Linked DNA regions of Rhinolophus ferrumequinum. The protein of the gene in region 1 interacts with the protein of each later gene in a biochemical or structural test. Links are inferred from orthologs where the notes say so. Each region holds a gene or a part of one and is shown on either strand. Other genes may lie near its edges.

Region 1 (3,747 bases):
AGGGACTTGTTAGTCCAAGTTTATGGGGATAATGCCATGAAGAAAACGGCAGTGTACAAATGGATTAAATGTTTTTCCTAGAGGAGGAACAGAGGTTCAGGGTGGCCAGTAACGAGCAGAATCGACAAAAACATTGCAAAAATTCATCGAATTGTGCGTCAAAATTATCGATTGACTATGAGAAGCATAGCAGACCAAGTAAACATCTATAGAGAAACAGAAAAATCTTAACTGAATATCTTGGAATGAGAAAGGTGTGTGCGAAAATGGTCCTGAAGGAGCTCACTGATGAACAAAAGCAAAGGAGAGTCGAAGTTTGCCAAGACCTTTTGGAGAGGCAAGACAATGTTTTGGGCTGTGTTGTCACTGGTGACGCAACATGGGTGTACCAATACGACCCTGAAACAAAGCGTCAAAGTGCACAATGGAAGTCAGTTCTCCATGACCAGAAAAGTTCCATCAGTCCAAATCGAGAGTCAAAACGATGTTGCTAACCTTTTTTGATATCAGAGGGATTATTTATTATGAATTTGTACCAACTGGACAAACAGTTAACCAAGTTTACTATTTGGAAGTGCTGAAAAGGCTGCGTGTAAAAGTTAGATGAACTGAACATTTTGCCAACAATTCATGGCTCTTGCATCACGACAATGCACCAGCTCACATGGCACTGTCTGTGAGGGAGTTTTTAGCCAGTAAACAAATAACTGTATTGGAACACCCTCCCTACTCACCTGATCTGGCCCCCAATGACTTCTTTACTGGAAGATAAAGGAAATATCAAAAGGAAGACATTTTGATGACATTCAGGACATCAAGGGTAATACGGTGACAGCTATGATGGACATTCCAGAAAAAGAGTTCCAAAATTGCTTTGAAGGGTGGACTAGGCACTGGCATCAGTGCATAGCTTCCCAAGGGGAGTGCTTCGAGGTTGATGTAGTGATATTCAGCAATGAGGTCTGTAGCACTTTTTCCAGGATGAGTTCCCGAACTTAATTGTCAGTCTCCTAAGAGGTTGATGAAGCCGCATCTGGCCTCCCAGTCTGAGCCCTCATCTGCTACCCACTGAAGGGGCTCCGGGATTCTTCAGAACCGCTGCAACTTCTCAAGTGAGTTGCTTGAGAGCCCAAACGGGTTTGGGGCTTGGTCCGTGGGATCGAAAAATGTGATACAACTGGTTGCTCCACCTGAAGGGCCGTCTACCCCACAGGTGGAGCTGCAGGGCGGGGACAAGGGAAAGCCCGAGCCCCGGTCCCAGGGCGGCGCCCTCCTGCCCCAGGGGCGTTCCCCGCTGCGCTGGCGATCTTAACGGGCTCGCGCGGAGGCCCCCGGGCCCCGCCCTCCCCGGGCCCGCCCCCGGCTCCATCTTGCGGGCGACCGGGTTGGGTTGTGACGCTGCTCTCGGGAATCAGGTGAGGAACGGCGCCCCCTACCCTTGCCACCCCCCTCGACCCCCTTAGCCATCCCGCCCGGCCCGCTCTGAGCCCCGCTGTCCCCGAGCTAGCGCGGCCCCGAGTGTGTCCCCGCGCCAGGGGGCGGTGGAGGGGCCTGTGGGCCTCCCTGGGCGGGCGACTAGATGTGCGCGTCTCGGCCCCCCGGCTGATCGGTGGGGACTTTCGGGCGGGGGCGCATTGGGGAGGGATAGGCAAGGCGGCCAGCCGGCCTGGCGGGCGGGAAACGGGAAGTGCTGTGCGCGGGTTCTGTGCGGCTCGGCCTTCCCGAGGTCAGAGGGAGCCGCGAGGCCCCGCGCACAGGCAGGTGGACCGCAGGTGGAGGGGCTGAGGCCGGAAGATGGTCCTGCTGGAGCGACCTCAGGAAGGCTGAGGAGGGAAACCAGCGAGCGCACCGGCAGCTAATTCTGGCTGGTGACTAGACTTTCCGGTGACACAGCAAATTTAGGGAAACTTGGGAAATTTGTGATGCGCTTAGTGATCCCGTAAGACAATGCACAAGCGTAAAATTGTACACTGGTTCGGGTTTATTATTCTTGGCAACCCTTTTAGGAAATAGCATTGCAGATTGACTCCTGTTCCATGGACAGCAGCAAACGTGTGCTGTTACGGGAAATGGCTGATGTCCACCATAGGGTGACACAGGGAAAGAAGTCGTCCAACTGCCTTTAAACTCCTCAATTTTGCCAGCTGATAGGGACCTGATCTGGTAAAGGCCGTCCTAATTAGGTAATATAACGAGTTAACTCTTAGGCAGGGAAGGAGTTTCAAGACTAGTATAGGTCAAGACTAATTTTGACCACTGCAGATTTAAGCCTCTTTTCAGCCCTCACTGGTGGTGACTGCCTACCCTGTCCACTCAGAAGACGTGCCTCCATGTCTTTATCCGAGGGCTTTTGGGGACTGATTTCAACGGTCCTTGCCAACCAAGAGGCAGGTTTTGGAAAATTGTAGTATCTGCTGTTGGCCATCCTCATTCACCCTTCCTGTTTCCTATTTATTTCATAAATTTGCAACACTTGCCTCGTGTTCTTGGGCTTCCTGCCATCTAGGAGACTCCCATAGTGAGACTCACCCCTTTTAGTACATGACTCACTGGGTGGAGATGGTTTGGAGAACCAAGAATGATTTTCTAGTCTTTTAAAAGTAGTTGCTGACGGAGAATGTTAAAAAGAAAAGCTCTGGTTCACCAGTACAGTCTTGTTATGCGTTGGCCAAAGTGGAGTAATTTGTTGTCACCCTGGACTTGAAGCTTTTCACAAAAGCTTTTTAAATTTACCTTTTCAATAGATGAGACATGCACAATTCTAAATATTGAAAAGTAAGTCTCATTATGCTGCAGCTCTTTTCCCTGGAGGCAGCCCTTGTTTTTCTACTTCCTTGAGAATACTTTCAGGGATATTCTGTGCATAATCAAGCAAATAAATAATTTTTTTACGTATATGGTTGCAAATTATCTATGCAGTTTTCTACCTTGTTCCCCCCCATTTATGATTTAGAGGTGATTTCACACATGAGTTAAAAAACAACAAAAACTAAAACTAATTTTTGATAGCTGCATAACACTTAAATGTATGGCTATCTATAATCTATTTCTCTTATTGATGGACTTTTAGATTGTTTTTAACCTTTTTCCATTACAGATAGTGCTGTAATGAATAGCCTTGTACACACATATGTTGCATTTGTGCAAGTATTTCTATAAGGTGCATTTCTGGAAATGGAACTGCGTTCTAGTCCTTTATATAGTTACATTCTTCAAAATGTACCCAAATTCACTTTCTTAAAATTGCTTTAAATTTTCTCATACTTGTATACAGAGTCTTTATTTTCATTTGGTTTTACAACTCTTGTTGACGTAATTCCTCTAGGCTCTTCAAGGTAGGATTTAATATAGTAGCTAAAGAATGTAGAAATAGGACTTTGTCATTAGAACAATATTCCGAGATTTAGAAATTTAAATTGCCTTTAAAATGATTAATTTCTCTAAGTTATTTTCAGATTTTTTCCCCCCTTCCTTTTGACCCTGACCTCTTTTGCCCTTGATCTAACTGACTGTTCTTAGATGTTGTTGTCTGTCCCTCCTTTACTCCTTATACCAACCAGGCTTAGAGAAGAAGAAAGCAAAAAATGATTTTGCTTGTTCCTCTTTTTACATTCAGGCCTTTGGATCCCAAATGATTATTTTAGAACCGACTGGGTCAGTTTTCTTAATGTCTTATTACATTTCTTATTAACTTATCATTTTGATTCAGTATATGCCCATTCATTCTCAATTTAGCAAGTTTTTAGC
Region 2 (3,747 bases), on another chromosome or scaffold:
AAAACCTCCTTCTAGCTTTTGGGGGAGAGAGGGGAAAGCGGGGTACACAGCTGACATGAGTAAATAAAAAGCTTGGTTCAAACAGAGAGAGAGAGACAGAGCAAGAGACCTTTGGGATCACCTTTGCTTATGATGTGAATGGGTGAATTTTTTTTCAGGCCCCAATTATTTAAGTTCCCAGTGGCTATTCTAGGTCAGAATTAGATATATGTTACTTTTAGGAGTTTTAAAATAAAACACCTAAGTCCATGGGTATTATAAATGCTAAATGAGCAGAAGGATCAACAGTTTGAAAGATGACGGCTACTCTGATACAGGCCAGGGCTGCTGAAAGCTAAGTAGGTGGGGTCACTTACATGGATGGAGGCACGGGCCATCTAAGAAAGTGAGTATTGAGCTTTGCTGTGTCTTGTGGTTTCAAAGATACAGATCATTAACAGATCAAGCAGATACTTACCGGGAAGCTCTTTCAGTTTTAGACTCAATTTTCCACTCAATTTCTCAAACTGCATTTCTTAGAGTGCTATTCTAAAAGGTGGTCTTAGGTTTTTATCCCATAATATTCTATGGCATTTTCACATGAAGATTGTGTTACTTCTAGCTTTTGATCAAAACAAAGCTAAACTGAATTCATCTGAGCAAACATTCCCTCTGGACATGTCTGGGTTATACCAACAGCATATTAACCATACACAGTGACCGCGGGAGCTAGGGATATGTCCTATCAATCCCCACCTGCACCTGTCAAATAACTCAGAATGTAGAGAAGTAAAAGGTCTTGGGGAGCAAATCTTCGTCCTCTCTTTGGGTCAACAGGCCACAACACCTAATAAGGACATAGAAGATCTGACCTAGTAACAGAATCTGCATCAAACAGAAACTAAACAGATCACAAGATTAACTTCCTGATAGTAAAAAAGAGTAGTAACTTTCTTATTTTGAAGCTGGTGGGTTTTTACCGTAAATACCTATTTCCTAAGGGGGTAATTGATAAACAATCAAATTTAACCCAAAGAAAGTGTCCATTAATATCTGGTTATAGAATTACTAGTACATGCCTTTCAGTTGTGCAAACAGGGGTTTATGTTCACCAGATACAGAATTTCTTCTCTGGAAACCACCCTGGATCCTGACAATCGAGTCACAGTTCTAAAGACATCTTTCTATCTTACAGATCTTAAAACATATTCATAACCCCCTATTCTGTTCAATCGGACACTAATTCAATCACAAGTTTAGTTCTGAATGGAACTAATAAAAACACCAGTAACACTTTGCCCTAATTTGTTCTGAAAACTCAGAAATAAGTGACTATAAGTTTCCTTCTTTCTCTTTTTTCTTTTGCAGAAGCAAAGGGATTCTTTTTCCAGAGGAAAGGTAGTTTTTCTGTGCCACTGTAACAGGCTAATACAAATGTAGACTCTTTCCATTCTCTAGTATTAAACAGAAAAGCTAACCTGTCCAGCTACTGAAGCGAAGTAACCATACAGCGGATCCTGAGTTTGTCCGGGAAACGAAGGCCCTCCGGGAGCCCCTCCATACTGTAAAACAGGAAACACAAATTTGGCATCATATTGCTGAACCAAGTTTTATTTTTTCACTACCGAGTGCCTTTGTGCAAAGCCAGGCAATGGCCTGCCATTCACTTCATTTACCCCCCCACCACCGGGCACACTAACTGCACTCACTCTACCTCTTTCTTCCATTCTCACTCCAGTCTAATTTTAAAAAACTGGCGGCTTGGACCAAAATGAATTGTCCTGACAATGACATCTGCATAAGTGAAGCAGCTTTAAAAACCCCTATTAACCTGCAGGTTACTAAGGTAAATGCAACCCAAGCAACAATTTATGAGCAGAGCTTAATTTTTTTTTAATAGAGTTTATGGTATTTTCAAAGCATTTTGAGACAGGTGTTGCCAGGGAGGGTAAGGTGTGTCTCGGCTGCGCTATTTCGCCACGGGGGAATATTCTTGGAAACAGTTTCCAAGACAACGCGCATCCCAGAAGCCAGGCTAGGCAGCTTTCTTCTCGGAGTGCTTTTACTCTGGCGGTCCTTCCTTGATTTTTTTTCCCCCCCTCACCTTGTTTTAGAGAGAGAGGTAGAGCTCTGGACCATTCTAGGTTAAAATGGCTGTTAGGGGAAACACAGAGGGAGGGAGAGGAAGCCCACACCCAATTTGCACAATTTCACGCCGCCTGTCCGAGAGTCACGGGGTGGGATTCTGGGGTCGCAATCCACCCGTGCCTTGGCCTTGCGTAGCCACCCGTGGGGAGGCAGAAGGAACAGAGAGATGGAGGGAGCCAGGGAAAGAGGCCGAATGGCCTGGGCTTGGGGCGAGGCAGCGGGCAGGGAGAAGCCGGGGGCGGGAGGTGTCCGGGGAGCCGCCCCAGCAGAGTCGCTAAGTGTGGTCTCTCGGCGTCCCCAGGACCCAAGGGTCGCGCCCGGGCTGCAGTCCCGCGCGGGCAGCACTTACCTGGCTTTGGTAGAAGCCGCCGCCGCCGGAGCCAGGGTGCCCGGGGTACGCCATGGTGCAGACTGCGCCGCCACCACCCTGCGCGCCCTGCCTTACTGCCCGCCCGCCGCGGCCGCCCCGGAGCGCACCACGCGGGCGGCGGGGGGGGGGGGGACGCGCGCCGGAGCCGCTGCCCGCACGGGGGTCCTCTTTTGCCTCGGTCCCCTGCCTGCGCCCAGCCCTTTATTGTACCTTATATGCCGAGGCCGTGCATCGCCGAAGGCCCGGTAAGTGACTTAAGACCTGCGAATTAATTCACACCAGGGACTTGCCTCCCTGCGAAACGAATGGCACATTCCAACATCAACTCGGAGCCTGGGGAATTCTATTTTTCTTCCTACTTGGCTATTTTCTGACGTTTTTCATCTTCAGCAGTTTTATTGGCCGGGGCCGACCTGCTCTAAGCTGAGTGCAATATCGAGGGCGAGGGGCTGAATACATTAGGGCCCCTATTAGATGCTTGAGGGGCATGGAGGTGTTGAAAAATCAAATATGAAAGCGCCCTTGGAACACAGGAATAAACTTCAGAAACTGTGCAAGGGAGCGTTTGGCTTGGGGTTACATATTTCACTGAACAACAACGGCATGTTTCCTTGCTAGGGGACATTGTCATCTCCTGGTTAAACTGGGCGTAGCTGGATGTGGCTTGGGTAGGACAGAGGGCTTTTACTGCGCAGGGCAGTCCCGCCCAGAGCGTCTTTAGAAAGGGAGTTGTTTCAATTAGTATCTGCGTGACTCAGGCAAAATAAACTCTCTTTCCAAAATTACTCAGCTGCTTTTTAGAGCAATCGAGTATTAGTAAATATTCAGGAAGATGAAAGATTAGAACTAAGGTGATTCAGAAAATGGTTTTCTTTACTTCACACGTTCTTCCTTTTCACCCAGTTGAACAGTCTGAAGCTATTCAGACGAGAGTTCTGTTTGGTTTTGATTGATGTAATTTCAATCACACAGAATGTTTTTGTGAATTTTAACGTTTTTAGAAATTCATTAATGAGCAAGATTCACAGTATTTGCTGTGGAGGTTGCCCAGAAAAACAGTCATTAGTTTTTGGACCACCTGCTGAGCATGGTACTGGCCTTTTTCACCATGATATGGTGGACGAGGTTCCTCCATTCCAATGTCCTGCGCAGTGTTCTCACTAGGGTCATTGTTTTCCTCTCATGTATAACTTCCCTCCAAGTCTTCTTTTTTGGATACCCAAATTCCCAAAATGCTCCCAAAATATATG

Evidence for each region.
Region 2: the proteins of ANXA7 (region 1) and SRI interact in a biophysical measurement, tested with the Homo sapiens proteins (2 studies listed by BioGRID and IntAct, with this or other methods). The link is inferred for Rhinolophus ferrumequinum from reciprocal best matches to the Homo sapiens genes ANXA7 and SRI.

The regions. Positions count from the first base shown.
Region 1 is NC_046299.1:50,914,086-50,917,832, reverse strand, and holds the start of ANXA7 (annexin A7), read left to right. Parts: upstream 1-1,282; 5' UTR 1,283-1,415; intron 1,416-3,747. UniProt on the Homo sapiens protein: Calcium/phospholipid-binding protein which promotes membrane fusion and is involved in exocytosis.
Region 2 is NC_046303.1:37,057,790-37,061,536, reverse strand, and holds the start of SRI (sorcin), read right to left. Parts: upstream 2,614-3,747; 5' UTR 2,531-2,613; coding exon 2,477-2,530; intron 1,542-2,476; coding exon 1,458-1,541; intron 1-1,457. UniProt on the Homo sapiens protein: Calcium-binding protein that modulates excitation-contraction coupling in the heart. Contributes to calcium homeostasis in the heart sarcoplasmic reticulum. Modulates the activity of RYR2 calcium channels.